2 linked regions of the Diceros bicornis minor genome follow. The protein of the gene in region 1 interacts with the protein of each later gene in a pairwise test. Links are inferred from orthologs where the notes say so. Each region holds a gene or a part of one and is shown on either strand. Other genes may lie near its edges.

Region 1 (15,968 bases):
TGGCTCTGCTAAGGTTCATCATCCTTACCACTGGGAGGGCTGTTACATTTTTGTTTGTCTATTTTTTTTCCTGGCTATTAAGGGACTGCATATGGGCCGGCCCGTGGCTTAGCGGTTAAGTGCACGCGCTCCGCTACTGGCGGCCGGGTTCGGATACTGGGCACGCACTGACGCACCGCTTCTCCCGCCATGCTGAGGCCGCGTCCCACATACAGCAACTAGAAGGACGTGGAACTATGACATACAACTACCTACTGGGGCTTTGGAGAAAAAAAGGAGGAGGATTGGCAATAGATGTTAGCTCAGAGCTGGTCTTCCTCAGCAAAAAGAGGAGGATTAGCATGGATGTTAGCTCAGGGCTGATCTTCCTCACCAAAAAAAAAAAAAAAAAAAGAGACTGCATGATCCTTGTTTAAGGAGAAAAAAAGGAAAACAGATAAAAGCAGAAAGTAGTAAAAAGCACCAACAATATCCCACTAGAGGGTGTTTTTCCTAGAATGTAAGTCTCACCTGATCCTGTGCCCGTGTCAGACCCACCAACGCCCCCAGATACCAGAAGGATTAGGCCCAAACTCCTGGGCAGATGTGAGGTCCTTCTGGGTGTGTCCCCATCTCTCCAGCAGCTCCCGTCCCTGCTGCCCCTGGTGCCCTGATGGTCCCTTCCCTAGCGTTTGTGGTTTTCCAAGCGCGGCAGATGGTTTCTTGCATCTGGGCACGAGCTGCACACTGGCCGCCTCTCCTTACCCACACAAGGCAGAGAGAGTAGAGACTAAATGCCCTCTCAGGGTCTGACTGAGCGGATTCAGGCCCTGAACACTCCAGCACATGTTATACGCAGTCATTACCGCCCCTCCTCACAGGACCATTGCAAAGATTCAATGAGGGAAGGACGTGTAAAAGGCCCGTGCCTGCACACAGTAGGAGCTCAATAAATGTTAGCCCCACTGCCCTCTTCCCATTTTTACTCACATAAGGTAATTTATTGCTCTCCTCTTGTTTTCCTAAGTGGATTTTCACTCTGCAAGAGAAAGGCCTGCTCAGAAACAACCAGAGAATGAAGAGAAGTTCAAAGCTTAGGAGCTGCACCACGATCCGATCGCTTATTTGTAAAAAGTGACATTACCGGGATGATCTCTGAGGTCTCTTTCAGCCCTCAAAATATTCAATTTCTGGAAATAGGGAATGTTTAATGGTCCAGGGATCGTCAGTTTACAGGTTGCGATAAAATGGCAGGTAGTAAAAACATGGGAAGGCGACGAGTCGCTGGTCTAATAGTAGAACCGTTCCAACAACAAGAGCCAAGAGGCTAGGAGAGAAGGTCCAGAGGCCCGTCCCATGAGCATGGCGCATAGTCTGTAAGGCACACGTTGTTTAGTGACATCTATGCTGTCAGCACAACAGCCTTTCTTATTTGCACCAGAAACTCGGGTTCTGGGACCTTGAAATTGTCAGTTAAGTGAATTCGGGATAAGCAAAGTGTTACTATTCCGAGATCATAATTAATTTTTGTTTTCAGATATAGAAACGTGAGCATAATATCGAGTCCCAAATATCAAGAGTGTCTTTAAGGGAGCTCACCTGGAAGGTTGAATGATTGGAACAAGAGTAACTAGCGTCTGATGTGCTGACAAGAATGGTTAGGCCTTGGTGTATGACATTAGGCCCTCTCCTCTCTGTCTCAACATACGCTCACACATGGACTCATACCATCAGGGGACTGCTATGAAGATAGACACCCAAAACCCGCTCTAGAAGTTCCATTTTCCCCATGATGCAAACGACCATATCACTAGGGGTTGTGGAGTTGGTTACCATGCTGGGACTGCTCCAGAGTCTGTGGGTAACTCTGCCTGTGGGGCGTGGGGTTTCCCTGGTGGAAGCAGCTCCACCTCGGTTAATAACTACCAGTCTGGTCTCGATCCCACATCTCCCACCCCCAGAGGGGGCCTCCACAGAGGCACTGAGGGATCGCCTCAGAAAACCAGGCCAATGATTTGGCTACCTTAGATGCGACCATCAACCTTTGATTTTAACTTTAACAGGCAAAAAAAATTATTCTCTGTGTTAAAAAACGGCATGACGCTTGTCAAGCCATGCTGTGGCAGCGTCCCATATAAAGTGGAGGAAGATGGGCACAGATGTTAGCCCAGGGCCAGTCTTCCTCAGCAAAAAGAGGAGGATTGGCAGATGTTAGCTCAGGGCCGATCTTCCTCACAAAAAAAAAAAAATGGCATGAATGCACAATACACACGGATAATACAATGGGGCCCACATGTAATTTATTTATTTATTTATTTTTTTGTGAGGACGATCAGCCCTGAGCTAACGTCCGTGCTAATCCTCCTCTTTTTGCTGAAGAAGACCGGCTCTGAGCTAACATCTATTGCCAATCCTCCTCCTTTTTTTTTTCCCCTCAAAGCCCCAGTAGACAGTTGTATGTCATAGTTGCACATCCTTCTAGTTGCTGTATGTGGGACGCGGCCTCAGCATGGCTGGAGAAGCGGTGAGTCGGTGTGCGCCCGGGATCCGAACCCAGGCCGCCAGTAGCGGAGCGTGTGCACTCAACTGCTAAGCCACGGGGCCGGCCACCCACATGTAATTTACAAGAGGACTTTCAACCATTTAAAATGCAGCTCAACTCATATCAACCACATGCTCCCATTCATAAACCTGAAACTCTCCTCAATGGTGATTTGGTTTGCTTTCTCCGAATTCAGGAAAGCCTTGGGTGGGGGTGAGGGTGGGGAACCACTGGGTGGCCTGGGTCTCTTTAAAAAGCTAACAATGGATTTGAGCTTATGTATTTTTTTGCTCTCAGCAAACCTCCTCGAGCAAACAGAGACCTTCCCCATTCACTTCAGAACCGCTGGAGGGGTCAGAGAGGAGCTTCGTGGGTGCTCATTGTGTCGTATAACTGTGTTTCTCTCACTGACAAGTTTTACTTTACTTCCAGATAAGGTCGATTCAGAATGACTCTCCTTTACTCTTTTTGTCCATGTCAACCTACTCAGATTACTCCAATTACACAGACCAAATTGTGACACTTTGTCAATGCAGTAGCCAGATCAGTCCCTTCGAAATGCAAGTTGGGTCATGTCACTTCTCTCAGAATCCTCTGATGGCTTCCCATATGTTATGGGCTAAGTAGTGTCCCCCCCAAAATTCATATGTTGAAGCCCCAACCTCTGGTGTCTCAGAATGCGACTGCATTTGGAGATTGGGCCTTTGAAGAGGTGATTAAATTAAAATGAGGCCATTAGGATGGGCCCTAATCCAGTTTTACTGGTGTCCTTATAAGAGAGACTAGGACACGCAGAGACCCCCCCCCCCACCCCAGGGATGCGCATGCACAAGTGAAAAGGCAGCAAGTGGGTGGCCATCTGCAAGCCAAGGAGAGAGTCCTGAGGGGAAACCAACCCTGCCGGCACCTTAGTCTTGGATCCAGCCTCCAAACTGTGAGAAAATATATTTCTGTTGCTTAAGCCACCCAGTCTGTGTTTTTTTGTTATGGTGGCCCCAGAAGCTAATACACCACCCCTTTCAGTGTAAAAGTCACAGTCCTTATGGTGGCCAGCAAACCTTACTGTATGAGTTTCCTGTTGCTGCTGTAACAAATTACTACAAGCTTGGTGGCTTAAAACAACACCAACTTACTATCTCACAGTTCTGGAGGTCAAAGTCTGAAATGGGGCTCACTGTTGCTAGGGCTGTGTTCTTCCTGGAAGAATATGCTTCCTTGCCTTTTCCAGCTCCGGAAGCTGCCCCTGTTCCTAGTGGCCTTTTCCTCCATCTTCAAAGCCAACAATTGCATCACTCTGACCTCTGCTGCTGCTGCTTTTTTTTTAAATTTTTTGTTTATTGCAGTAACATTGGTTTATAACCTTGTATAAATTTCAGGTGTACATCATTATACTTCTATTTCTGCATAGATTACATCATGTTCACCACTCAAATACCAATTACAACCCATCAGCACACACATGTGCCGAATTATCCCTTTCGCCCTCCTCCCTCCCCCCTTCCCCTCTGGTAACCACCAATCCAATCTCTGTTCCTATGTGTTTGTTTATTGTTGTTATTATCTACTACTTAATGAAGGAAATCATACGGTATTTGACCTTCTCCCTCTGACTTATTTCACTTTGCATAATACCCTCAATGTCCATCCATGTTGTCACAAATGGCTGGACTTCATCATTTCTTATGGCTGAGTAGTATTCCATTGTGTATATATACCACATCTTCTTTATCCATTGGTCCCTTGATGGGCACTTAGGTTGCTTCCAAGTCTTGGCTATTGTGAATAACGCTGCAATGAACACAGGGGTGCATGTACCTTTACAAATTGGTGTTTTCAAGTTCTCTGGATAAATACCCAACAGTGGAATAGCTGGATCATATGGTAGTTCTATCCTTGATTTTTTCAGGAATCTCCACACTGTTTTCCATAGTGGCTGCACCAGTTTGCACTCCCACCAGCAGTGTGTACGAGTTCCCTTCTCTCCACATCCTCTCCAACACATGTTGTTTCCTCTCTTGTTAATTATAGCCATTCTGACGGGCGTGAGGTGATATCTCATCATAGTTTTGATTTGCATTTCCCTGATAGTTAATGATTTTGAACATCTTTTGATGTGTCTGTTGGCCACCTGTATATCTTGTTTGGAGAAATGTCTGTTCAGGTCTTTGGCCCATTTTTTAATTGGGTTGTTACTTTTTTTGTTGTTGATATGCATGAGTTCTTTATATATTTTGGAGATTAACCCCTTATCAGAAGTATGGTTTGCAAATATCTTCTCCCAGTTGTTAGGTTGTCTTTTTGACTTGTTGATGGTTTCCTTTGCTGTGCAGAAGCACAGCACACTTCTGTATCCTCTACTCTGCTTTTGAGTCCCTCTAGTGAATTTTTCATTTCCAGTATCGTATTCTTCATTTCTGATTGGTTCTTTTTCATATCTTCCATTTCTTTGTTGACATTCTCACTGAGTTCATCTATTCTCCCCACATCAGTGAGCATCCTTAACACTCTTAGTTTGAACTCTCTGTCAAGTAGGTTGCTCATTTCTGTTTCACTTAGCTCCTTTTCTGGAGTTTTGTCCTGTTCCCTTACTTGGAATATATTCCTTTGCCTCCTCATTTTGCCTCTTTCCCTGTGCTTGTGTCTACGTATTAGGTAGGTCAGCTACATCTCCTGCTCTTGGATAGGTGACCTTATACAAATGATGCCTTATGAGGCCTGCAGTGTGCTCCCTCAGTTCTCAATGTTCCAGGGGTGACCCCTATGTGCCCTATGTGTGTCCTTCTGTTGTGGCCTGTTTGCTCTCCCTGTATGTGCCCAGGTAGGCCGAGTTATGCTCCTGGTCAGCTGTTGTAATGCTCAGCTGTTTGTAGTTGTTGTGGGCCCCTCAGTCTCTTTATCAGGTGTGCGGAGCCCCAGCTCAGTTGGCTGCAAGTTCTAATACCACATTTGTGTTGCAGTATTTCTTTTAAGTGAGTAGGCCCCCAGCGTGGCAGGTTGCTAGGCTCAGGGGCTTACAATTGCTGTAAGCCTCCAGCCTTTATGTCTCTTGTCAGCTCTCTGAGGATTGCAGCTGGGCGGGGCTGGCCTCAGGCACCGGAGCATCCAATTGTTTCAGGCTTTGGAAGGTGAGGCAAACCCACTATGTGGGTCTTCGAGAAGCACAAGTCTTCTGCAGCTGACAAACCCTGCCGCCCACAGGTCCACACACACAGTCAACACAGTCCTGCCCCGTGTGCACGCCCCGACCTCCCAAAGTGGACCCAGTCTCTCCACGGCAGCAGCCCCACACACTCCACCACTGCCCCACACTCTCCACCCGCTTCTTGCGCACGCCCTGCCCCACTGAAGTGGGCTCAGTTGCCAGGCTGCAGAGAATCCAGTCACCAATCTATGCATGCCCACAAGTTGCCTGAGGGCTTGTTGTTGGGTGGGGCCAGTCTGTAGGGTGGGCTGCCTGCCCTGGCTGAGCTGGATTAAATTGGTGCTCTGGTGGGTGGGGCAGACCTGGGCTAGCAGGCCCCAGGGAGAACTCCAATGGCGTCCTTGTCAGCACACCCACACCAGGCCACAACAATGGCCGCAGCCAATGTCTCAGTCCCTGGAGAGGTCTCACCTCTCACCGAGATGCACTCAGGGCCTATCAGGTGAGTCTCTTTTCACCAAAGCACTATGCACCTTTCTTTCTGGTGATTTTCGGTTGCTTTCTGAAATGGGTGAGTTTGTGCGTGGGCCCTTTAAGAGCTGGTTTTAATTTCTTTGTGAACCAGCTTTTCTGGGGGTATTCCCCAATGTTTTACTGGCAGGCAAAATCAGATATTATGCCACTTGTCTCGATTGTGCTGGGTCCACAAAATGCCCACAGTGGGGGCGCTCCCCGGCTCAGGGCCCCACTCCTCCAGGGAGGGCTGCGGACCTATGTGTTGCTCCCGGGTGGCCGTGCAGCTGGCAGCTTGTGAAGGTGGCATTTTTTCTCTCCTGAAGGGAGTTTCTGCCTCTTCCACCTCAATTAGGGTTGTCCTTTGTTGCAAGGGTTCCTCTTATCCAGTTTTCAGTTCTCTCTCAGGGGTAATTTTTCCATGAATAGTTCTAAATTGGCTGTGTCCGCGGGAGGAGGTGTGCTCAGAGTCTGCTTACGCTGCCATCTTGACTTCCCCCTGACGTCTGCTTCTATTGTCACATCTCCTTCTCTGTCATGTATAAGGACATTTGTGATTACCTTGGGCCTACCTGGATAATCCCCGATAATCTGTCTAGCTCAAAGTCAGCTGATTAGCAACCATGATTCCATCTGCAATCTTAATTCCCCCTTGGCAAGTAAGAGAACATAGTCGCAGTCTCCAGGGAATAGGATGTGGACATCTTTGGGGGCATTATTCTGCTGACCACACTCATCATCTCTGTTACTTCTCTGAATTCATCCCCCCGCCCCACTTCTCCACTCCCACCACAGTGGCCTCTTTGCTTTCCTGGAAAAAGGCAGACATGCCAAGCAAGTTCCTATCAGGGCCTTTGTTCTGGCTGCTCCCTCTGTCAGGAGTGCTTGCTCCAGATATCAGCAAGTCCTGCTGTCCCCTTCACACAGGGACTTGCCCTGACCTCCTTATAAAATAGCACTGTGAGCCCCAGGAAAGCAGACTTTGCTGTGTTCACTGCTGTTTCCCACACCTGAAACAGTGCCTAGCAAATGATAGATGCTCAAGAAATACTTTCCAATAAATAAATACATGGAATACATAGATTCGTGCAAAGGCCTAAAACTAAGTTACATGTCTAAGCTTATAAAATACGGGTAAAAATTTTAATTTATGAGTAAAGACAGAGTTGGAATCTACAGAAAATCTTAGACACATTAGTAAAAGGGTGAGTCATCACCATAAATACATGGGGGGCTCTTTGCCTGTGACATGCGTTGGGCATTGTGGCCTTTTAGGGCAGGAAACAGCTATTGGGGAACCCCAGTTGAGAGCTCATGGGTAGTGACTTTGAAAGCTGTGGGTGCAGAGGGCCTCCGAGTCTACAGGTAGGACCTGAGGTTTGGGGGGAATCACAGTGGATTCTGGCAATTCTCTGACACCCCTGGCAGCAATTGGTTGAAGTCAGGCAAGGCTGTGGAGGCCAAGGAGGGAGATTATTTTATTCACATACCTCAGACTATCCCTGCCCCATGGACATGAAAATACTTACTTTGGGGTGACAACAGGTTTTGTTGTTGGTTGGACATAATTTTGTCTTTTTGAAGCTGGAGGAAGAAGAGTTAGCCTGAAAGTGAAAAATAAATGAAAAAGAAAAAATTGGAAATTCAGAAACCTGTTGTAGCACCCCCAGATGAGGCACATCCCCACGGTGACCCCAAATCAGAATATATGGTCTGACAACTGAAATCTTTAAAATTGGGATGGTCTTAGGAACCTCAGGCAGAAGGCCTTGGCACTTGTTCACTGTCCCAAGGGGTCCCCGGGTTGGCAGCACAGCTCAACCCCCAGTTCCCAAAGCTCTTTGTCCCACAGGAGGGGCAGCTGCCATGGGCCTTTCCCTGCAGCACTAACCCTGAGATGCCCTCATTTAACATGACACCAAGCTCGGCAGCACCAGCAATAGCAATGTGCAGGCAGCGGGCCAGCAGGAAAGCTGGCAAAGTGAGGCTTCCTGGCCCTCTCAGGATTTCTCTGCCAAGCTGACTGTCTGGAAATCTTGTGAAAGAAAGAAGGCTGCAAATGGAACCCAAGCCCCAGGCCCCACTCCACCCCAGATAATCCTCACTTGGGCTTCCCTGGGGAGGGCTTGCTTGGTGGCTGAGGGGTCTTGATTAGCTTCCGTGTTCCCGAGTTCCAGGGGTCCCGGCAGGTGCAGTAGATGAGAGGGTTGGGGTACATGGCAGGAGGGCAGGGTCAGTCTTGGCTGCTAGGTCAGGAGGCCCTTGCTGAAACAGGAAAACGACAGCAGAGAGTTACACGTTCAGAGTCAAAGCAACAAACTTAGAGACAAATTGGGAAGGACCCAGGGGAGGCCCAAAGCACAGACGGTAGATTCTGGAAGCTGTTGATCTGGTGCAGGGTCTGGACGATAGAAGGACACCTCACCACTTACCATCCAGTGGACTTGATTTGAAAGCAATTTAAAATTTGCCATAGTTGAGTGCTTACTGTGAGCCAGGTATACAATAAGTGATTAAGTATTGTTATCCCAGTTCTATAGATGAGGACACTAAGGCTCAGAGCAGTCACGGAGGAGCAAGTTGCAGAGTTTTGAGAACAAGCACAAGTCTACCTGCCCCTAAGCCCTTGCTCTTCCTTCAGGTCACACTAGCTCTCACTGAAGTGAAGAGAAATCCCTACAGCAGGTCCTGCACAGAACTTTCTGGAAAATTGCTCTTTTACTCAAACTACAGTGCAAGTGAATTTCCTAGTTTCTCATTCTTGGTCACCTGCCTGAATTACACAGTTGAAACCTCTTCCTTCTTGGCTCCAAAAAAACAAAACAAAAAACAAAAATCTCTATTATGAAGGTTTGCACGAAAGACAACTCTCAGATGAACATGGAGGCTCAATCACACTTATCTTCTTTCTTTTGCAGAACCTCACTAAAATGAGAGCACAGGATTAAAAGAGGGTTAATTCCATAAGAACAAAGAGAACAGGAGCGGCGACAACATTGCACAAGGGATGTCAATCCACGTTTGGCACAATGACTCCCTCACTTAGCCTACATGCCTGCAGAGGGAGTACGAACCAGAAGGAGCCAATTCCATGCAAAAGACCCCAAAAGACTCCGAACTTGGAACTGGTAGATTATCTGATGATGCTGATAGGCATTTGACAGACCTGTTGGAGCACGTGGTAGGTGGAATGATGCCCCTTCCCCTCAAAACATGTCTGCATTCTAATTCCTGGAACCTGTGAGTATGTTACCTTACATGCCAACAGGAGCTTTGCAGCTGTGACTAAGTTAAGGATCTTGAGAGGGGGGATGACCTGGATTAACCATGTGAGCCCAGGGTAATCACAAGCGTTCTTATGAGAGGAAGGTGGGAGGGTCAGAGTTGGAGCAGAAAATGATCAGATAGGAGTGATTGAGGAAGGGGCTATGAGCCAAGGAATGTGGGCAGCCTCTAGGGGCGGGGAAAGGCAAGGAAATGATTCTCCCTATAGCCTCCAGAAGGAAGGAAGTCCTGCCAACACCTTGATTTTAGCCCAGTGAGACCCACTTCCAACTTCTGACCTCAGAACTGTGAGATAATAAATTGGTGTTGTTTGAAGCCACTAAATTTGTGGTAATTAGTTACAGAGTTTTCATAACAGGAAACAGAGCATTTGGGGGAAAATTAGCAATAGAAACATAGAAACCTAAGAAAATAAAAATTGCATAATTACTTCAGGTTAAAAAGTATGTATAGAGAGGAGAAGTCAAGATGGCGGTGTAAGCAGACTCTGAACTCACCTCCTCCCGCAGATACAGCCAGTTTACAACTACTCGTGGAAAAATTACCCCTGAGACAGAACTGAAAACTGGATAAGAGGAACTCCTGCAACAAAGGACAATCCTAATTGAGGTGGAAGAGACAGAAACTCCCTTCAGGAGAGAAAAAACGCCACCTTCACAAGCTGCCAGCCGCACGGCTGCCCGGGAGCAGCCGAAAGGTATGCAGCCTCCCTGGAGGAAGAGGACGCTGAGCCAGGGAGCGCCCCCGCTGCGGGCATTTTGTGGACCCAGCACAACTGAGACGATTGGCATAATATCTGACTTTGCCTGCTACTAAAACATTGGGGAGCACCCCCAGAAAAGCTGATTCACAAAGACATTAAAACCAGCTCTTAAAGGGCCCATGTGCAAACTTGCCCGTTTCAGAAAGCATCCTAAAATCACCAGAAAGAAAGGTGCATAGTGCTTTGGTGAAAAGAGACTCACCTGATAGGCCCTGAGTGCATCTCGGTGGGAGATGGGACCTCTCCAGGGACTGGGACATTGGCTGCGGCCATTGTTGTGGCCCGGTGTGGGCGTGCTGACACAGATGCCATTGGAGTTCTCCCTGGGGCCTGCTAGCCCAGGTCTGTCCCACCAGCTAGAGCACCGATTTAATCCAGCTCAGCCAGGGCAGGTAGCCCACCTAGAGACTGGCCCCACCCAACAACAAGCCCTCAGGCAACTTGTGGGCATGCATAGATTGGTGATTGGATTCTCTGCAGCCTGGCAACTGAGCCCACTTCAGTGGGGCAGGGCGTGCACAAGGAGTGGGTGGAGAGTGTGGGGCAGTGGTGGAGTGTGTGGGGCTGCCACCATGGAGAGACTGGGTCCACTTTGGGAGGTCGGGGCGTGCACACGGGGCAGGACTGTGTTGACTGTGTGTGTGGACCTGTGGGTGGCAGGGCTTGTCAGCTGCAGAAGACTTGTGCTTCTCAAAGACCCACATAGGGAGTTTGCCCCATCTTCCAAAGTCTGAAACAATTGGATGCTCCTGTGACTGAGGCCAGCCCCACCCAGCTGCAATCCTCAGAGAGCTGACAAGAGACATAAAGGTTGGAGGCTTACAGCAATTGTAAGCCCCTGAGCCTAACAACCTGCCACGCTGGGGGCCTATTCACTTAAAAGAAATACTGCAACACAAATGTGGTATTAGAACTTGCAGCCAACTGAGCTGGGGCTCTGCACACCTGATAAAGAGACTGAAGGGCCCACAACAACTACAAACAGCTGAGCATTACAACAGCTGGCCAGGAGCATAACCCGGCCTCCCTGGGCGCATACAGGGAGAGCAAACAGGCCACAACAGAAGGACACATGTAGCCTATATAGGGGTACCCCTGGAGCATTGAGAACTGAGGGAAGCACACTGCAGTCCTCCTAAGGCATCACTTGTATAAGGTCACCTATCCAAGAGCAGGAGATGTAGCTGACTTACCTAATACGTAGACACAAGCACAGGGAAAGAGGCAAAATGAGGAGGCAAAGGAATACATTCCAAGTAAGGGAACAGGACAAAACCCCAGAAAAGCAACTAAGTGAAACAGAAATGAGAAACCTACCTGACAGAGAGTTCAAACTAAGAGTGTTAAGGATGCTCACTGATGTGGGGAGAAGAATAGATGAACTCAGTGAGAATGTCAACAAAGAAATGGAAGATATAAAAAAGAACCAATCAGAAATGAAGAATACGATACTGGAAATGAAAATTTCGCTAGAGGGACTCGAAAGCGGAGTAGAGGATACAGAAGAACGGATCTGGGAGCTGGACAAAAGACTAGAAGAAATTACCCAAGCTGAATAGGTAAAAGAGAAAAGAATTAAAAAGAGTGAGGACAGTCTAAGGGACCTCTGGGACAACATCCAGTGCACTAACATCCGTGTTATAGGTGTCCCGGAAGGAGAAGAGCGAGACAAAGGGGGAGAAAATCTATTTCAAGAAATAATAGATGAAAACTTCCCTAACCTAAGGAAGGATGCAGACATCCAGGTACAGGAAGCACAGAGAGCCCCAAACAAGATAAACCCAAAGAGGCCCACACCATGACACATCATAATCAAAATGTCTAGAATTAAAGATAAAGAGAGAATCCTAAAAGCTGCCAGAGAAAGACAAGTTACATACAAAGGAAGCCCCATAAGGCTATCAGCTGACTTCCCAGCAGAAACCTTACAGGCTACAAGAGAGTGGCACAATATATTTAAAGTGCTAAAAGGAAAAAACTTACAGCCAAGAATACTCTACCCAGCAAGGTTATCATTCAAGATGGAAGGAGAGATCAAAAATTTCCCAGACAAGCAAAAATTAAAGGAGTTTGTCACCAAGAAACCAGTGTTACAAGAAATGTTAAAGGGACTGATTTAAGGGGGAAAGAGAAGACCACAAATAGGAAAAATTATCTATTTCCATGATAAGAGGGAAATGGATACAAATGCACAAAAAAGAGGTTAGATATGATATCAAAAACATAACATGAGGGAAGAGGGGAGTTAAAGAGTAGAGCTTTCAGACAGAAGCCAAACTAAAGAGACCATCAATTCTGTACAGAAAGAGAAAGAAACAGAGAAGGACTAGTAAAACACTGAGAAAAAAGTTAAAAAATGGCAGTAAGTACATACCTATCAATAGCTACTTTAAACGTCAATGGACTAAATGCCCCAATTAAAAGGCATAGGGTGGATGATTGGATAAAACAACAAGACCCATATACATGCTGCATACAAGAGACACACTTCAGACCTAAAGACACTCACAAACTGAAAGTGAAGGGATGGAAAAAGATACTCCATGCAAATGGCAATGAAAAGAATGCTGGGGTAGCACTACTCATATCAGACAAAATAGACTTTAAAACAAAAACTGTAAAAAAGACAAAGAGGGGCATTACACAATGATCAAGGGAACAATCCAACAAGAGGATATAACACTTGTAAATATCTACGCACCCAAAGTAGGTGCACCTAAATATATAAAGCAATTATTAACAGACATAAAAAGAGAAATAGACAGTAACACAATAATAGTAGGGTACTTTAACACTCCACTTACACCAATGGATAGATCATCCAAACAGAAGATCAATAAGGAAACATTGGCCTTAAATGACACACTAGAACAGATGGATCTAGTAGATATATACAGAGCATTCCATCCAAAAACTGAAGAATACACGTTCTTTTCAAATGCACATGGAACATTCTCCAGGATTGATCACATATTAGGCCACAAAACAAGTCTCCATAAATTTAAGAAGATTGAAATAATACCAAGCATCTTTTCTGACCACAACGGTATGAAACTGGAAATCAACTACAGGAAGAAAATCAGAAAAGCCACAAATATGTGGAGATTAAACAAAATGCTACTGAACAACGACTAGGTCAACGAAGAAATCAAAGAAGAAATAAAAAAATACCTGGAGACAAATGAAAATGAAAATACGACATGCCAGAATTTATGGGATAAAGCAAAAGCGGTTCTAAGAGGGAAGTTTATAGCAATACAGGCCTATCTCAACAAACAAGAAAAATCTCAAATAAACAATCTAACAATGCACCTAAGGGAACTGGAAAAAGAAGAACGAACAAACAAAGCCCCAAATCAGTAGAAGAAGGGAAATAATAAAAATTAGAGCAGAAATAAATGAAATAGAGACTAAAAAAACAGTATAAAAAATTAATAAAACCAAGAGCTGGTTCTTGGAAAAGATAAACAAAATTGACAAACCTTTAGCTAGACTCACCAAGAAAAAAAGAGAGAAGGCACAAATAAGTAAAATCAGAAATGAAAGAGGAGAAATTACAACAGACACTTTAGAAATACAAAAGATTATAAGAGAATACTATGAAAAACTATATGCCAACCAATTCGACAATCTGGAAGAAATGGATAAATTCTTAGCATCATACAACCTTCCAAAACTGGATCAAGAAGAAGTAGAGAATTTGAATAGACCAATCACCAGTAAGGAGATTGAAACAGTAATCACAAAGCTCCCCAAAAATAAAAGTCCAGGACCAGATGGCTTCCCTGGTGAATTCTACCAAACATTCAAAGAAGACTTAATACCTATCCTTCTCAAACTCTTCCAAAAACTTGAGGAGTGGGGGAAGCTCCCTAACTCATTCTACAAAGTCGACATTACCCTGATACCAAAACCAGACAAGGACAACACAAAAAAAGAAAATTACAGGCCAATATCACTGATGAACATCGATGCAAAAATCCTCAACAAAATACTAGCAAATCGCATACAACAATACGTTAAAAAGATTATACACCACGATCAAGTGGGATTTATTCCAGGTATGCAGGGATGGTTCAACATTTGCAAATCAATCAACGTAATACACCACATTAATAAAATGAAGAATAAAAATCACATGATCATCTCAATAGATGCAGAGAAAGCATTTGACAAGATACAGCATTCATTTATGATAAAAACTCTGAATAAAATGGGTATAGAAGGAAAGTACCTCAACATAATACAGGCCATATATGACAAACCCACAGCTAATATCATCCTCAACGGTGAAAAACTGAAAGCCATCCCTCTAAGAACAGGAACCAGACAAGGATGCCCACTCTCACCACTCCTATTTAACATAGTACTGGAAGTCCTAGCCAGAGCAATCAGGGAAGAAAAAGAAATAAAAGTGATCCAAATGGGAAAGGAAGCAGTAGCATTTCTATACACTAACAACAAATGAGCAGAAAGGGAAATTAAGAATACAATCCCATTTACAATTGCAACAAAAGGAATAAAATACCTAGGAATAAACTTAACCAAAGAGTTGAAAGATCTGTATACCGAAAACTATAAAACATCGCTGAAAGAAATTGAAGAAGACACAAAGAAATGGAAAGATATTCTGTGCTCGTGGATTGGAAGAATTAACATAGTTAAGATGTTCACACTTCCTAAAGCAATCTATAGATTCAATGCAATCCCTATCAAAGTTCCAACAACATTTTTCACAGAAATAGAACAAAGAATCCTGAAATTTATATGGAACAAAAAAAGACCCCGAATAGCTAAAGCAATCTGGAGAAAAAAGAACAAAGCTGGAGGTATCACACTGCCTGATTTCAAAATATACTACAAAGCTATAGTAACCAAAACGGCATGGTACTGGCACAAAAACAGACACACAGATCAATGGAATAGAATCAAAAGCCCAGAAATAAACCCACACATCTGTGGACAGCTAATCTTTGACAAAGGAGCCAAGAACATACAATGGAGAAAAGAAAGTCTCTTCAACAAATGGTGTTGGGAAAACTGGATAGCCATATGCAAAAAAATGAAAGTAGACCCTTACCTTACACCATACACAAAAATTAACTCCAAATGGATTAAAGACTTGAATGTAAGACCTGAAACTATGAAACTTCTAGAAGAAAACATAGGCAGTATGCTCTTCGACATCGGTCTTAGCAACATATTTTCAAGCACCATGTCTGACCGGGCAAGACAAACAATAGAAAAAATAAACAAATGGGACTACATCAAACTAAAAAGCTTCTGCACAGGAAAGGAAACCATCAACAAGTCGAAAAGGCAACCTAACAATTGGGAGAAGATATTTGCAAACCATACATCTGATAAGGGGTTAATCTCCAAAATATATAAAGAACTCATGCATCTCAACAACAAAAAAAACTACCAACCCAATTAAAAAATGGGCCAAAGACCTGAACAGACATTTCTCCAAACAAGATATACAGGTGGCCAACAGACACATCAAAAGATGTTCAAAATCATTAACTATAAGGGAAACACAAATCAAAACTACAATGAGATATCACCTCATGCCCGTCAGAATGGCTATAATTAACAAGACAGGAAACAGCATGTATTGGAGAGGATGCGGAGAGAAGGGAACTCTCACACACTGCTGGTGGGAGTGCAAGTTGGTGCAGCCACTGTGGAAAACAGTGTGGAGATTCCTCTAAAAATCAAGGATAGAACTACCACATGATCCA
Region 2 (16,762 bases), on another chromosome or scaffold:
AGTGGGAGGGTCGGGTGTCTCTTTAGGGTTCTCTCACGCGCTCCTCCCTGCCTGCTCTCGTGATGGACAGCGGTCAGCAGTGCAATGGACACCAATGACACTTACTCCCCCCACCCCCAGCCCGACCCCCCAGCAAATTTCCTTGGGTGCTCTGCTTCAGCCCTAGAGGGAATAGCTACTCTTTCTGTATCCATTGGGTTTCTCTTTGCCCCTTGGTAGCTTAATCCCCTGGTACTAGTTAATAATTCTTTTTTTGTGGGTGTGTGGTAAAATATACATCACATAGAATTTACCATCTTAGCCATTTTTCAGTGCACCGTTCAGTGGCATCAACTACATTCATATTGTTGTGCAACCATCAAAACCGTTTCTAGCAAAGCCTGCTGTTCGGGAAACAGATTTCTACAACATGGATGGAGGGGATTTTGGCTCTATCCATCAAAACCGCAAATGCACAGACCCTTTGACTAAGCAATCCTATATCTAGGAATTTATTCTACAGATAAATGCATACATGTGCAAACAATATATGGGTGAGATGCGGCATTGTGTATAAAGTTTATATTGTGTATAAAGGCAAAAGATTGGAGACTAGTGAATACTAATTAGTAAGGAACTGGTTAAACACGAATTCTTGTATATCCAATGTTATGGAATACTACAGAACTGTAAAAAAAACACAAAACAAAACAAGGAAGCTCTTTGTTTATAGTTCTAAAATGGGATGATGTCAAAATATAAGGAAAAAGAAAGCAAAAACATAAACAAAACCATGAAGTGGAATGGTGTGTATAGCGTGTCAACTTTTGTGGGGAAAAGTTAAACAAAAAATGTACATTTCTGCTTGCGTATGCAAATTCTGGAAGGATACACAGGGACTATTGGTAACTGTGGGAGCAGAGAGAGATCTTTCCGGGTAAACCCTTTGTACCTCTTGAATTTTGAACTATGAATGCATTACTTTTTAAGAGAGATGTTACTACATTTTAAATTTGAAAAAGAAGCTAGAATAACTGGACATCCAAACGCAAAGAACCTTGATCTATGCCTCATGCCAGATATAAAAATTATCTTAAAATGGATCATAGATTTAAGTGCAAAATCTAAAACTATAAAACTTCTAGAAGAAAATATAAAGGACATCTTTACGACCTGGGGTGAGGCAAAGATTCTTTGATGTGACATCAAAAGTCCGACCCATGAAAGTACAAATTGACAAATTAGACTTCACCAAAATGTATAAGTTTTGCTCTGAGAGGATGCTGAAAAGAGAATGAAAAGACAAGTCACAGACTGGGAGAACATATTTGCAAAAGGCAGATCCAATAAAGGATGTGTACTCAGATTATATAAAGAATGCTCAAAACTCAATAATAAGAAAACAAACAACCCAATTAAAAAGGGCAAAAAAGATTTGGACAGACGCATTACCAAGAAGATACGTGATGGCTAATCAGCACATGAGAAGATGCTTAACATCGTTAGCCGTTAGGGAGATGCAAAGTCAAACCACAGTGGATACTCATAGGCATCTGTTAGGGTGGCTTTACAAAAACCTGACAATACCAAGTGCTGACAAGGAAGCAGATCTGGAACCCATCTATGTTGCTGGTGGGAATGCAAGATGGTAATGCAGTTTGCATTGCTCATAAAGTTAAGCATACATACTTCCCATAGACTCAGCAATCCCACTTTTAAGTATTTACCCAAGATAAATGAAAAGATATTCCCATGCATAGACTTGTATGCAAAGCTTCAGAGCATCTGTACTCATACTCACCCCGAACTGGAAACAACCCAAATGTCCTTCATCGGATGAATGGATAAACCAACAGTGGTCCATCCGTACAAGGGAAGACTCTTCAGGGCTTAAAAATACAATGACTTGGATGAATCTAAAGTACATTGTCCTGAGTGAGAAAAGTCAGCCTCAAAAGCTATGTGTGGAATGATTCCATTCATGTGACATTCTGGAAAAGGCAAAACTATAGGGGAAGCAAGTCCATGGTTGCCAGGGGCTAGGGGTAAGAGAGGAGCTGACTACAAAAGGATGTGTAAGGATATTTTTGAGGGTGATGGAACTGTTCTATATCTTGATCGTAGTGGTGGTTATATGACTGTGTATTTCTGTCAACACTCAAAGAACTCAGAGAAGTGAAAACACGTCCACACACAGACGTGTTTGCTAATGTTCCTAGAAGTAGTATTCATAATAGACGAAGAGTGGAAACAACCCAGATGTTTATCAACTGATAAATGAATAAGCAAAATATACTACACTCACATTGTGGAATATTATTCGGCCACAGAAAGGAATGAAGCACTGACACAAGCTACAACGTGGATGAACCTCGAAAACATCACGCTGAGTGAAAGGAGCCAGTCACAAAAGGCCATGAATTGTATGATTCCATTTATAAGAAACGTCCAGAACAGGCAAATCCACAGAGTCAGAAAAGAGATTAATGGTTGCCTGAGGCTTGGGGACCGGGATCTGAGGATTCGAGGATGATGGTTAATGGGTGTGGGGTTTCTTGTTGGGGTGATGAAAATGTTCTAAAATTGATTCTGGTGATGGTTGCACAAGTCTGTGAACATACTACAGCCATTGAATTGTACACTCTAAAATGGGTGAATTGTATGGCCATGTGAGCTATATCTTGAAACTGTTACCAAAAAAACCTCATACAACCCTATGCTGAAAAGGGTAATGTAATATTTTGAAAAATTTCAAAAATATTACAAAAAAAGAAAAGTCAACCCCATCATTTTAGAGAAGAAAAAGCTGAAATTGATCCCTTCTTTCACTCAAACCTCCCCGAGGGACTTTCAGTAAAGTCACCAAAGATCCTCACCTTGGCTCCCAAGGGAGGCTGCCTCGGGCCGTGTCCCCTCAGCCTCTCCCATAGCTCCCTCCACCACAGCCTCAGTGACCTTCTCTTGCTCCCTCAAACTCAGTGAGTCTCCTCCCACCTCAGGGCCTTTGCACGTGCTGTCCCTCTGTCTAGGACACCCTTTCCTACTCAAACGTCTCTGCAGCTTTCAGGTCTCAGCACGAACATCTTCTCAGGAAGGCTGTCCTCATCCCCCAGACCCTCTTGTGACGTATACTCAATGCTCTCTGCACCTTTCTTTGGGGGGACCCACCTCAACCCTAATTATATAGTAATATAGGCGATTGCATGTTTAAATAAAGCCAGTCTCTCCCAACAAATTGACAGATGTCTCTCTTGTTCACAGCTGTGTCTCCACACATGGCAGATGATTAGTAGGCAGCATTTTAATGTCAGAATGGAGAAAATTAAGATCACCTCTCCTTCCTTTCATTGTTTCTTTCTTCCTTCCCTCCCTCCCTCCTTCCTTCCTTCCTTCTCTCCCTCTCTCCTTCCTTCCGTCCTTCCACAAATATTTATTAAATACTTATTATGTGCCAGGCACTTCTTTAGGCTCAAAAACACAGCAGTGATCGAGACAAACTAAAATATCTGCCCTCATGGGGCTCCTGTTCTAGTGGGGAACGCAGAGACTAAATCCATGAGAATGTAATACAGTGGCTGGTAGTGATGCATGAAGAAAAGTATGCGGTTAGCTAAGGGGCTAGAGAGGGACAGGATGGGGACGCTATTCCTCCAGGGAGGTCAGGGGAGGCCTCCCCGGGGCCGGGAGAGCCGCCGCTCTTCCCTCCCACTCTCCCCAGTGTGCCCTTTTCGTCCTCTGTCCCCGGCCCCCTCTCCCGGCGCCCCTCCCCCAGCCCGGCGGGTACCTGACTTGGGGTAGGTGACGATGAAGATGTCGTCGTCCTGCACGTTGGCGTTCTCCGCGATGCTGAGGCTCTCGGGTGAGTAGATGCCCACGGGGAAGGGGAGGCCCTTGTACCTGAAGTATTCGCCTGACAAATTCTGGCTGTGGGAGGGCGAGGGAGACACCATGAGGACCGCGGAGGAGGCGAGGACAGAGGTCACCCAGGGGAGGGTGGGGGGCCAGGGGCCTGCATTTGAGCGTCCTCCAAGGTCCCAGGAGCCTGCACGGGGTCCAGCTTTAGAGCTTTGACACGAGGTGGAAGAAAGTGGTGAGGAACCTCAGGGCAGGAGGGAGGGCCAGCGAGGAGATGGGCAGGGGCACCCCACTTGCTAGTGGAGCACTGGCAAGGAACTTTCTGTGAGCCTCATTTCCTCATCTGCAGAGTGGGGATGGTTACAGAACCCCACAACGATCCTATGAGGTGACAATGATTATTATCTCCACTTTATGGATGAAGAAAGCGAGGCACAGAGAGGTTGAGTGACTTGCCCAAAGCCACACAGCTGGTGGAGCACTTCACATCTGCAAAGTGGGGCTAAACCACTTTCCATACGTTTACTCTTTGCCCGCCTCTTGAGGAAGATGCTAAGTCACCACCCCATTTTACAAATGAGGAAACAGGCCAGAGTCAGGCGCCCTGCCCACTCCCACACGGCCACAGAGCAGCAGAGCCCGCCTGTGAAACCCAGACATGAGGTCACCGTGAAGCTAAAACAGTCTAAACTCCTCGCTCGAGCTTCTTTTCCAAAACCCCTGTAATGTGTTCATGTAACCAAACACTGACGTAAAGTTTTCCAAAGTGAGATGTTTTAAGAGCAATCCGTTTAGTCCGCTGTCTTTCTGTCGCCGCCTCCCCTGGGGTCACCTGTCCGGGGCGCGGGAGAGGGATGGGTATCTTGGGGACCTGGCTAAGGCGAAGTCGAGATGGGGATGCGTTTCATCCGGCTTTCATGGGAAAGCTACTTTCCATCTGTGGCCCTTTATAGTACCCTTAGGACAAGAGATGTAAAAATGCCTCAAATAGAGTCTGGTTCATAGTCTGCATTGGTAAATCTGAGCTAAAATTATTGTTATTACACCCAGTAGTAGAGGCCACACTGGGCATTGTGTGAGCCCAGAGGAGGGGCGCCTTAGCACCGCGTTTGGCGCGCAGTAGGCCTTCAGCAAGTTGCAATGACTTAATGTTGTGATGTCATCAGCCACCCCATTGGTTGAACGTGCTGTGGGATTAGTGATGTCACTGGTTGCCAGGCAGATTTAGCTCCGTAGGCGGGAGCTGTGAGGTCATCAGTTACCAGGCAGATTAGCGGCTAAGTGCCTGGGCTTTGGCTCCGCCTTCGTGGGTCACGCGTGCTCTCTCTGTGGCCTGGGAAGCGGATCGCACGGAGCCTCAGTTTCCTCATCTGTCACATGAGGATAACAGCAATCTCTCCCTCAGGATTTTAATCCTACCTGAGGCTTAAAAGGGATAATATATGTTAAGCGCCTGGCTCCTGACGGATGCTCAGGGCAGGGAGGCTCCCTTTAGCATTCAGCATTATTTCTGTCTTCGGTCTCACCAGCAGCTCCTTGAAGGAGAAATCTCCTCCGCAGCTTACAGGAGAGGAAAACGGAGTCGCCAGCGAGGAGAAGCTCCTGCGCCCTTCACGAGCCCCTGAAATAGTCCTTGAATGCACGAATGAATAAATACGAGGGTGCCCCCCCCCCCGTCTCCCTCAGCACCTACAATCTCCAAATCGCGGGTCCAAGCCCCATCCTAGGAAGCCAAGGTGGAATCCACAGTGTGGGGACATCGTTGGTTCTCAACTGGTATTTGACTGACTGACTGAATGAATGTGCGAACGAATGAATGGATGTGCAAATGAATGAATGAATGTGTGAACGAATGAATGAAGTGGTTTATCAGGGACAAAAATGAAAGAAAGCCCAAGATCACTTGTTATGTCCTTTTACCCGCCTCAGTGGTTCTCAGCCCCGGGCACTTGGGAATCGCCTGTAGGGACTTTATAAAGGATCCCCAAACCCGGAATCCCCCCTGGGGCCTTTAGAGTCTCCCAAAGCCTGGCCTCATTCCAGGCCAACAGTGTCCAAGCCTTACCACCGCACCCTCAGAGCCTAGAACAACTGGTTGCTCAATAAATAATGAGCATCAATATTTAATAAGTAATCGAGGCATGAATGGGGTAGAGCTGGGATCTCCCTGCACGTTACAATACGACAGATGAGAAAATGGAGGTTCAGAGAGGGAAAGCAATTTGGCCAAGGCCACACAGCAAGTACCAAGCAGAGTGGGATTTGCACCTCAGCCTGTAGACAGTCTCTGTCCCAGTCCCTCCTTCCCCATGCAACCCACACTCCAGCCAAAGCCCCCAAATGCACCGAGTATTATTCCTACCTCCGGGCCTTTGTATCTGCTGTTCCTCTTGCCAGGAATGCCATTCCTCTGCCCTCCTCTGTGCTTGAGCGTGGAGGTCGAGGAGGCCCCCCTGCACCCGGATTCCCTCTTGGCTGAATGTCACTGTGTGTCCCAAAGCAGATGCTGTGTGCCTCCTCTCCCCACATTGTACCTCAAATCTGGCCCCGGGGTGACCTTTCCTCTCCCTGGGTCACAAGCCCGTTTTGTTCCCACGCCATGTCCGGTGCCCGGCCCGCAGCGATCGCTCGATTGGAGCGGAGGAATGAAGATGACCACTGAGCTGGATCAGAAGCCTGCAGCAGGACGGACAGCTGGCGGAGCTACGGCCAACATGACGGAGAATTGGCCGAGGACCTGGTTAGCCTGCTAGAAGGTGCCTGGCCTGGCCTGGCCTGAGACCCCAGGCCATGTGACTCTAAGAATGTCCCAGCACATCGACCGTCCTGCCTCCCACCCCCACAGTCCACAGGGCCCTGGCCCTCCCCGTCTGTCCCCACCGCCCTGGTCCAGCTCAGGTCTCCTGCTCAGCCCCGTGGACCCTCAGCATAGCCTCCTTCCTGATCTCCTGGCCTCCAGTGTCTCCCTCCTGTCCATCCTCCAAACAGCTGCAGCCCCTCAGCCCGAAACTCAAGGTCCTACAAAGCCTGGGCCTGCCCGCTCCTCTGGCCTCGTCAGACCTCCAGGATCGTGGCTGACTTCCCTCTGGTCCCAGCAGGGGAGGAGGGGCAGGGGAGCCACCCTTATGGAAATTCTATGCCAAAGACACGCATTATCACAGACTTCTCCCAGAACCCCATGAAGTGGGTATGGAGAGCGCCACTTCACGTCAGAAGAAATGGAGGCCCAGAGAGGTTAATATATGTCTCCAAGGTCACACAGCAGTCTTCATAGGAGGTCTCGGTAAACAACTGTCAATGAGCCTTCACCCCTCCCTCTACCACTAGGACACAATTTGTCTGTGTCATTCAGTGTTTTATCCCTAGCGCCTGGCACACGACAGGTGTGCACTAAACAAACATGTCCCCAGTTCAGATCCCCTGGTAGTGGGGGCTCAGTCACCACCTACAGAGGCAGCCTGGCCCACGCAGAGGGGAAGGAAGATGGGCTGAAGTCGGACAGACTTTGATTTGGACCCAGGCTCTGCTACCAACTAGCTGTGTGACCTTGAATACATGGCTTAACCTCTCTGTGCCTCAGTTTCCTCAGCTGGAGAAGGAGGCTAGGAAGGCCTCCTTTGAGGGAACTTGGAAAGGATTAGAGCTGCCTGGACTATTGCAGTCGCCTCCTTACTGATCTCCCTGTTCCCACCCTTGCCCCCTCCCGTCCGTCTCCCCACACGGCAGCCAGAGAGATCTGGTTGGAACCTGAGTCACTTCCTGTCCCTCCTCTGCTCAGAACCCTCCCGTATCACACAAAAAAAGCAAAGTCCTCGCAGTAGCGGGAAGGACCTCAGAGTTCTGCTGTGATCCATCTCTGCCTTCATTTCAGCTCTCTTCCTTCTTTATCAGCTCTGGCCGCACTGGTGTGCTTGCTGTCCCTCCAGCACGGCGGGCCGAGTCCTGCCTCAGGACCTTGGCACTGGTCGTTCTCTGTCTTCCTTTCAGGCCTGTGATTGGCCCCCTCACCTCCTGCAGGTCTGAGGCCTCCCCTGACACCCTGTCCATAAGTGAACCCACCCACCCCACAGCCTGCTTTGTTTTCCTGTCCTACTTGTCACCTTTTGAGTCTCTCTATGCTTTGCATGTTATGTTGACTATTGCCTTTCTTCTCTGCTTGCGTGTGAGCTCCGTGAGCCAAGGGATTTTTATTTTTATTTTCAGTCTGTCTTGACTGCCGATATATCCAGAACACCAGCATACGCAAAGGCGGCCTCAGTCAATATTTGTTGGAGAAAGAAAAATCGCGCTGACCGCGCTCCCTGGCACTGCATTCCCCACTACATTGTGTGTATGCCTTAATTCACTTATTTCCGCAAGGGCCCTAGGAGGCGGGGGGTAGTGCTACCTCCGTGTTACAAAGGAGGAAATGCAGGCACAGAGAGGCGAAGGCACTTGGCTAATGTCACACAGCTGCAGAGGACAGAGCTGAGCTTTGAAGCCAGGCTGTGTGGCCCCACAGTTTTTGCCCCTAACCACCTGGGGCCATGGGGTGGGACCTCCCGGCCCCTTCATGTGGTTCTCCCTGGGTGTGCTCATTCTGTGCAGGGGTGTGGGGGAAGGGGGTAGTCAGGAAGACATAGACTTGACCGCAGGCAACTCACATATCCTCTCTGAGTCTTAGTCTCCACCTCCATCCTCTTGGTGACATGGATATTTAACTCCCAGGGGAATCTTATTATTATTATATCGTATTATTTTATATATTGTCTATTAAGGTACCTCCACAAAATAGCTTAATATAAGCGCAGATTTTAAAGCAGAGTCTCTCCCCTCCTGGGGGTTCACTCAAGAGAAAGGAAAACTTATGTTCGCCCCAACATCTGTGCTCTGTGTTTACAGCCGCGTTATCCATAATTGCCAAAAACGAGGAACAATCCAAGTGTCCTCCTGCGGGGGGAGCGGATAAATAGTGGTACCTGCGTCCCGTGCGATGCTACAAGCCACTGATGCTGACAACCATGCAGATTGTCTCCAGGTAGCCAGGAAAACAGGTAGAAAAAGGGTTACTGAGGATTTGGCTAACAACTAGCAGAAACGGTCAGATGTTTTTCAGACAAGGCTCCAGAAAAACAGGAAGAACCCAACCGCAGAGATCGCTCACAAGACAGCGTCTCGACTCCTGCTATAATCAGCTCTCACTGCGCTCAGGTGCTCTGCCCTCATTAGCTTCTTAAATCCTCCTCCTCCTCCGGGAGGGGCCGAGCAGCCAGTGTTAGATCCTACTACGCATGCGCCTGAAAAGACCGTGGCTGGGAGGCGGGAAACCCCGATCTCCTGCCTTTTCCTTAACTGAATATGCGTGAACTGCACGCTGATCTAACCATAAAAGGACCCCTCACGCCCTGTTGGGGGAGACACTGCTCTGGGAGATATCCCCTGTGTTCCCCATTGCTTGTGCAAGGAATAAACCTTTCTTCACCCACTCTGCCTTGGTTGTGCTTTTCTGCTCCGCACTCACCAAGGGGCGAACCCATTGAGTTCAGGTACAGGATGAGTCTCAAAGAGTCTCAGTCTTCAGCTGAGTGAAAGAAACCAGACAAAGGAAGTCACAAGGTATACACTTCCATTCGTATGACTGTGGTGGGCTGAAGAATGGCCCCCAAAGATGTCCACGTCCTAACTGTCCTAATCCCCGGACCTGTGAATATGTTACGTTGGTGGTAAAAGGGATTTTACAGCTGTGATTATGTTAAGAATTTAGAGGGCCGGCCCTGTGGTGTGGTGGTTAAGTTCGAGCGCTCCGCCTTGGCAGTCCGGGGTTCAAAGGTTCAGATCCCAGGCACGGACTGAGGCACCACTTGTCAAGCCATGCTGTGGCAATGTCTCATATAAAAGTGGAGGAGGATGGGCATGGATGTTAGCCCAGGGCCAGTCTTCCTCAGCAAAAAGAGGAGGATTGGCAACGTATGTTAGCTCAGGGCTAAGCTTCCTCGCAAAAAAAAAAAAAAAAAAGAAATAATTTTGAGATGGAGAGATTATCCGGGTGGGCCCTAAATGTCATCAAAGGGTCTTTATAAGGGGCAGGCAGGAGGGTCAGAGAAAGTGTAAAAACAGAAGCAGAGGTCAGAAAGGGGAGAGATTGGAAGATGCTACACCACCAGCTTTGAAGATGGAGGAAGGGGCCACGATGAGCCAAGGAATGCAGGCGGCTTCTAGAAGCTGGAAAAGGCACGGAAAGGAATGGATTCTGCCCGAGAGCCTCCAGGAGGAACGCAGCCTTGCTGACTCTTTGATTTTAGCCCAATGACATTGATTTCAAACTTTTGACCTCCAGAAGTGTATGAGCATAAATTTATATTGCTTTAAGCCACTCAGTTTATGGTCATTTGTTGCAGCAGCAACAGGAAACTAATACGACATTTTTGAAAAGACAAAACCATATGGACAGAGAATAGATCCGTAGTTGTGGGGGTGGGGGTGGGGGGTGGGAAGAGAGGGTAGTTAGCGATGGGGGAGGATGTGGCTACAAAGAGATGACAGAACAGTTCTGTATCCTGGTTGTGGTGATGGTTACACAAATCTATACATGTGTTAAAATTCATAAAACTATACACTCCCACAAAAAAATTAATTTTATCCTATGATTTTTTTTTTAAAAAGAGCCTTGTGGGTTGATCTCCATAATATATAAAGAACTCACACAATTGAACAACAAAAAAAGAAACAACCCGATCAAAAAATGGGCAGAGGAAATGAACAGACACTTCTCCAAAGAAGATATACAGATGGCCAATAGGCACATGAAAAGATGCTCAACATCACTAATCATCAGGGAAATGCAAACCAAAACCACACTAAGATATCACCTCACACCCGTTAGAATGGCTATAATCACCAAGACAAAAAAACAACATGTGTTGGAGAGGATGCGGAGAAGCAGGAACCCTCACACACAGCTGGTGGGAATGCAAACTGGTGCAGCCTCTATGGAAAATGGTATGGAGATTCCCCAAAGACTTAAAAATAGAGATGCCCTATGACCCAGCCATCTCGTTACTGGGAATCTATCCAACGCACCTGAAATCAATAATCCAAAGAGGCTTATGCACCCCTATGTTCACTGCAGCATTATTCACCATAGCCAAGAAGTGGAAGCAACACATGTCCCTCAACTGATGGTTGGATTAAGAAGATGTGGTAAATATATACAATGGAATACTACTCAGCCATAAAAAAAAGACAAAATCGTCCCATTTGCAACAACATGGATGGGCCTGGAGCGTATTATGTTAAGTGAAATAAGCCAGAAAGAGACAGACAAACACTGTATGATCTCACTCATATGCGGAATATAAACCAACACACGGACAGAGAAAACTGGACTGTGGTTACCTGGGCAGTGGGGGTGGGGGGTGGGCACAAGGGGTGAAGGGAGTCATGTATATGGTGATGGACAAACAAAAATGCGCAACCCAAAATTTCACAATGTTAGAAACCATTAAAACATCAATTAAAAAAAAAAAGAGCCTTGTTCCCGTAAATGCTTAATGCCCATCAGGCATTATTATAACAAAACCGCCGATGGGCCAGTGTCCCTCTTGGATACTCAGGGATGTGCAGAGAAGCAACGCCCGCCTACCTCACAGGCCTGCCTTGGATTTGCTCTGTGACCTGAGGCCATTCACAAGCCCTCTCTGGTATCATTAAAAGAATAAGCAGTGTGTGTGTGTGTTGGGGGGGGATCACGGGACGGGACATGGGACTTTTTCCAGGGACCTCTCAGTCTGATGTTCAAAGAGAGCTCCCCATTCCTGAGAGCTTTAGGCCTTTTTGCCTGAGATGGAGCAAATTTATTAATTCACCCCACAAATATTTCTTGAGCACCCACTGTATGGCAGGCGCTGGGGGGATACAGGAGTGGGTGCAATTGACAAGAAACCCGATTGCAGTTTACGTTTGAATGAACCATAAAGTTAACACATGATGTTTTAAGTGTAGTATACTGGATGGTGATGGACTAAAATGAAGCAGAGGGGGATAGGGGGTATCTGGGTGGGGATTGCAATTTTAGATGGATGGAGTCAGGGGAGGGCCCTCTGAGGAGGTGATATTGAGCAGACCTGAAGGAGGTGAGGGAAGGAACCGTGTGTGGGTACCAGAGGGAACAGCGTGAGCAAAAGGGGTGAGAGTGTAGGCTGCTGGGAGGCTGCGGTCTGTGTGGGGCTGGAACAGGTGCCCCCTCCTGTGAGCGGCCCCACCATTCCAGGACCCCGATGTGGCTGCAGGCTGTCCTGCTGACTCACAGAGGGCACCCGTGGTCAACTGGACTTTCTCCGGGGAGCGTTGCCAAGAAGCTCAGAGCCTGAGCTGTGTTCAACGTGCCTCAGCCGCAGAACACACTGTGCAGTGTCCAGCCGTCCCGCCTGCCTGGGCTGTTCTCCGGACAGAAGCACCCTCCCTCACCTCCTGAAATTCCGCATGGAGCCCATCTCTGGGCACCTCCACCTCAGCGGAATGACTCATGCCTTGGCCAGACTGCAGAGAAACAGACTCTTTCCCTCGCCAGCTCTCAGCGGCAGCGTGATGAGGGCAACCTCTTTGGGAGATGGCTTGGCAGTATTGACATTATACAGACCACCTCGCAGGGGACACCCCCTCCATGCCATCATTACCCATCTCAGCTACCTGTTTGCCTCTTTCACAGCTCTTTTAATACTTAGTAATATTTTCTTTGTCCATTGACCTCTTCTTTAAGTCAATCTTCCCCACTAGTAGGGAAGCTAAGAGGGAGCAGAAATTGGCTCCCTCTACGATGTCCCAGCGTCTGCCACGCAGGTGCGACTCCATTATTATTTGTTGGATGCACAAATGAACGTGACTCCCAGAAATTTACGGAATAGATAGGTGCCCATGAGGAAGCCCCTGAGGAAATATATACCAGGATGTTAATTGCAACATAGTTGATAAGAGGAACCTGAACAACCCGGAATTGGATAAATTAAATCATAACTGGATAAATAAACTAGGGCCCTGCCAACACTGGAATCCAGTCATTGAAGAGGAGGTGTTTATGTCTCAATAGGAGTTTAGGCTACACGTATATTTCTCAAAACTGGCGCACTTTAGATCTGTGCAGCATACTGTGCATAAACTGCATCTACTAAAAGAAAAACTCATAAACGAATATTGAAATCTATTTAATGATATGCAGCCTGGAATGTTTAGGGTGAAATGTTCTGATGTCTGCAATTTACTTTGAAATGCATCACGAAAAAGAAATATTGATAAGTGGGTAGAAGAATGCACAGATATTCGATAAGACAAATATAATAAAATTTGAGCGGTGGTGGATAGAAGAGTGTTCACTGGATAATTCTTCCAACTGTGGAAATAAATAAAATAAATCTTAGCTAAATTGGAGTCGGGAAGGCCTGTAGGGGGAGCTCTCACGCCCTATCACACATCGCCAATTACACCAAACAGGAAGAGACAGATGCTTGCCTCTTGGACAAGAAATAAAACTGCTTTACTACTGAAGGAAGATTTCTCTCCCCACCTGGCAACAGCCCAGCCAATGAGAAATGCTGCAGCTCAGCCAATGAGAAACGCCACAGCTCAGCCAATGAGAAATGCTGCAGCTCAGCCAATGAGAAACACTGCATCTCAGCCAATAAGAAATGCCGTAGCTCAGCCAATGAGAAACACCACAGCTCAGCCAATGAGAAATGCTGCAGCTCAGCCAATGAGAAGCCATTGCTGTGCAGAACTGTTACTTTCCCCCAATGGACTTGTTTAGAACAGCCCCTCCCTACTCCCCCTTTTTCTCTATAAAAGCAGCTCCATTCCTTTATTTTCTGGATTTGCCTGTGGTTTGCCATAGCATGCACGTCCCAAATTGCAATTCTTTTTGGCTATTCCCAAATAAACTCATTTTGAGTATAAAATAACAGGCGAATTTGCTTTTTAAGTTGACATATATGGTGTCAGAAAAGTGGGATCCAAAGGAGACAACCCCAGAGAGATGGCGGCCCACAGAATTGAGCCAGGTACCCACACCCAGCCCCTTGTGCTCATCGCTTGTGTGAGTTGGTGAGTCTTCTCTTGGATTTTGAGCTCCACCCCCTTTGTGTTCTGAGCTCTCAGACTTTATTTGGTATCAGGAGAAGCTTGGTCCTGTCAGGGGAGGGACTTTGTCGTCTCAGTCAAGGCTCTGTCCTTGAGTTCAAGGCATCACCCTTGGAGACTACTTGGTTGTTTTCCGAAGGTAGCATAGCTCCTTTCGGGGATTGGGCTTGCTGAAAATCCAGGTTTCTTTTGTTTTGTTTTATTTTCCAGATTCCTTTTGGAATCAGGGCTGGGAACCCAGAAACTTTTCCTTTGTTTTTAGATTCCTTTGGGGATCAGGACTAGGACTTGAGCAACTTTCATGGGTTTTCAGAGGAAATCTCAGAAATGGGATTCCTGTCATCTAAATGTTCTGAGGGAAACTCTCCTTCAGGGATCCTGGCCGGGTTTATGTTTAAGAACTGTGGGCCTCCTACACGTGCATTTTTAACTAAGTGGGCCAAACGACCAAAAGCAGTCCAGAATTGCAATGGCCATATTGGGAAACTTTCAGTCTCCCCAAACTAGCTTTACTTAACACCAAATTGGAAGACTGAGCCTCTAAAATTAAGCAAAATGAATGGCATGTCTATTTTTGTTGGTACCTGGAGGCCTCTGAATATGCACAAAGCTCTAAAATTACCACTCTACAAGGTGCCTTGTCTAAATTAGCAGAAACAATGAAAGAACTGAAGGAGAACAAAATGGACTCTGAAGCCTCATGTTCCCCTCCCCCTTCTTCTTCGTCTCAAGTGCCATCTTCTTTGTCTTCCCAGAACCTTTGTCTCAGACTCCGCCCTGGCATCCTTCTTGTGTCCAGGCTCTGCCCCTGATACCATCTTCCTCATTTCCCCTCTTCGAAAACCTGCTCCCTTTGAAATCAGACCTTCTGAAAGTTCAAATGCTAAGCCCTTAATTACTATTTCTAAGTTAAATGGAGCAAATAAACTAGAAGGAAAAATTTAAATAACAATTACCCTAGACTTTTGATAATAGATCAAATGACTCCAAAAACAGCTCTAAAAGGATCTTTACAACATGCAAATAAAAATCTTTGGTAAAAGACTTTGGGCACCTGAACAAGTAACCTTAACTTAGTCCATCTGCCAGAGATACAGTTTGGATCCAACTATTCTTTAGAGTTTTGTACCTGAGACACGGTTTTAAAATGAAAGCTATGAGATCTCTGTTTATGTCTGTCTCTGTGTCTATGTATGTATGTTATAGAGATGTGATATTTTTCTACCTCTGGATGGTTTCGCTAGAATTGATTTGTGAAAAGCTCTATTTAGTTGGCTTGAAATTAAGTGCTTATAAATTAAGTATTCCTAAATCTCAGAAATATAATAGAAACTAACTTAAATGCTTTTCAGGTTCATGTGATCTAGGATATCTTAGTAAATAAAAGCTAGCTTAAGGTCGTTGGCGTAAATAAAAAACATTCACATCAGAGTTGTTAACATTGGGTATAATGCAAATGTGTAACTTTTCTCTCTGCCTAGGTTTACTAGTCAAGTAGGCTCTTGCTGTCTCTGTTACCAAATTTGTCAGAATGAAAGTAACTTAAGATGATCGTTGGCTATTTAACGTCTAATCCAAGCATGATTGTTAAAAGCAAGTAATTAAAATAAATGTAAGTAAGATCAAAGTTTATGCTAAGTTAAACTAAATGGATAGTCATTGAATCTCTAAATCATTTTCCAAACAAGATAAAATACTAAAACGTTAATTACTGAGCACAAATTTATCTACTTTTGGCTTCCTATCACAGAGAAACTAAAGATATTTGAGTCTACTAGTGAACATGTTTTATGCCATGCTCAGCAATTTTCTGTGAAAAAAACGTACATGTTTCTAGAAATTTATAAAAGGTCTTTTAAGTTGTGGCTTTGTTTAAGCCACAAAATGCTAATACAGTCCACAGTTGCTTACTTCATAGTTTTACCAGGAACGGGGGATTCTAAGGGTTAAGAATTCTAATATGTGTAACTAAAGCTACTAGAAATAAAAAAAGGAAACATCTCTGTATGCAAAGAAAGTAAGATGTGTATTTCAGTAAAGGAAGGTATACGGAATGGAAATGCATTTTGTTAAGGGAAAAGAAAATGATTTTGTCCTGAAGAGAGGCTATTGTTTTATCAAAATAATTTCCTGTGTTGTTTCTATCGGCTCTTTAATTACCTAAGAAAACTGAGCCTTCTTAATATTGAAGGAGTTAAGTTTTGCTTACAACTATGTAACCTTTTGTATTTGCCTTTGAAACCTGTTATTGTTACTTTTGGTCAAATAGATACTTAAGTATTATTTTATATTGATCTGTGATCCTGTTTGATCAAGTGTCCAAACCTTTTGATATTTTTGACAAGCCTTTCAAAATATTCAAATTCTACATGAAGTCTTTTCGACCTGAATGTAACTTTGGATTTTCTAGAGGGCGCCTGGGACATCTCAAAAAATTTATTCCCTTTCCTTAGAAAAAACAGAGACATTACATTAATTAGGTTTATTTGGTATGTCAAATTACATCAGAAGCATGGTTGAATAAGCAATAATAAACCTTTTTAGGTTATATGATATGGGTAAATGTTACTAAAAGGTTTTCTAGAGATTGTATAAAATTCCTAAACTTCTGATATGCAAATATAATGTTATTACCTGTAATTCCTGTTACTATCTAAAAGATATGTCACAAAAATACCCAAATTTTCTTGTCAATTGTATTTACCCATTGCCTTTTTAAAAATCTTTTTGTCAGTTACAGTTATTGTTTTACTCTGATGCTTTTACAAATATGTTTCATTTTCAAAGAGATTCATGGAAAAGACTTTGACAAGTACTCTGG

What was found.
Region 2: the proteins of FLACC1 (region 1) and SULT2B1 interact in binary tests that used the Homo sapiens proteins (3 or more experiments, as listed by UniProt). The two-hybrid records come from large-scale screens. The link is inferred for Diceros bicornis minor from reciprocal best matches to the Homo sapiens genes FLACC1 and SULT2B1.

The regions. Positions count from the first base shown.
Region 1 is NC_080749.1:79,197,770-79,213,737, forward strand, and holds the start of FLACC1 (flagellum-associated coiled-coil domain-containing protein 1), read right to left. Parts: upstream 8,395-15,968; coding exon 8,282-8,394; intron 7,781-8,281; coding exon 7,706-7,780; intron 1,019-7,705; coding exon 970-1,018; intron 1-969.
Region 2 is NC_080773.1:24,216,482-24,233,243, reverse strand, and holds the start of SULT2B1 (sulfotransferase 2B1), read right to left. Parts: upstream 7,735-16,762; 5' UTR 7,701-7,734; coding exon 7,651-7,700; intron 3,904-7,650; coding exon 3,764-3,903; intron 1-3,763. UniProt on the Homo sapiens protein: Sulfotransferase that utilizes 3'-phospho-5'-adenylyl sulfate (PAPS) as sulfonate donor to catalyze the sulfate conjugation. Responsible for the sulfation of cholesterol.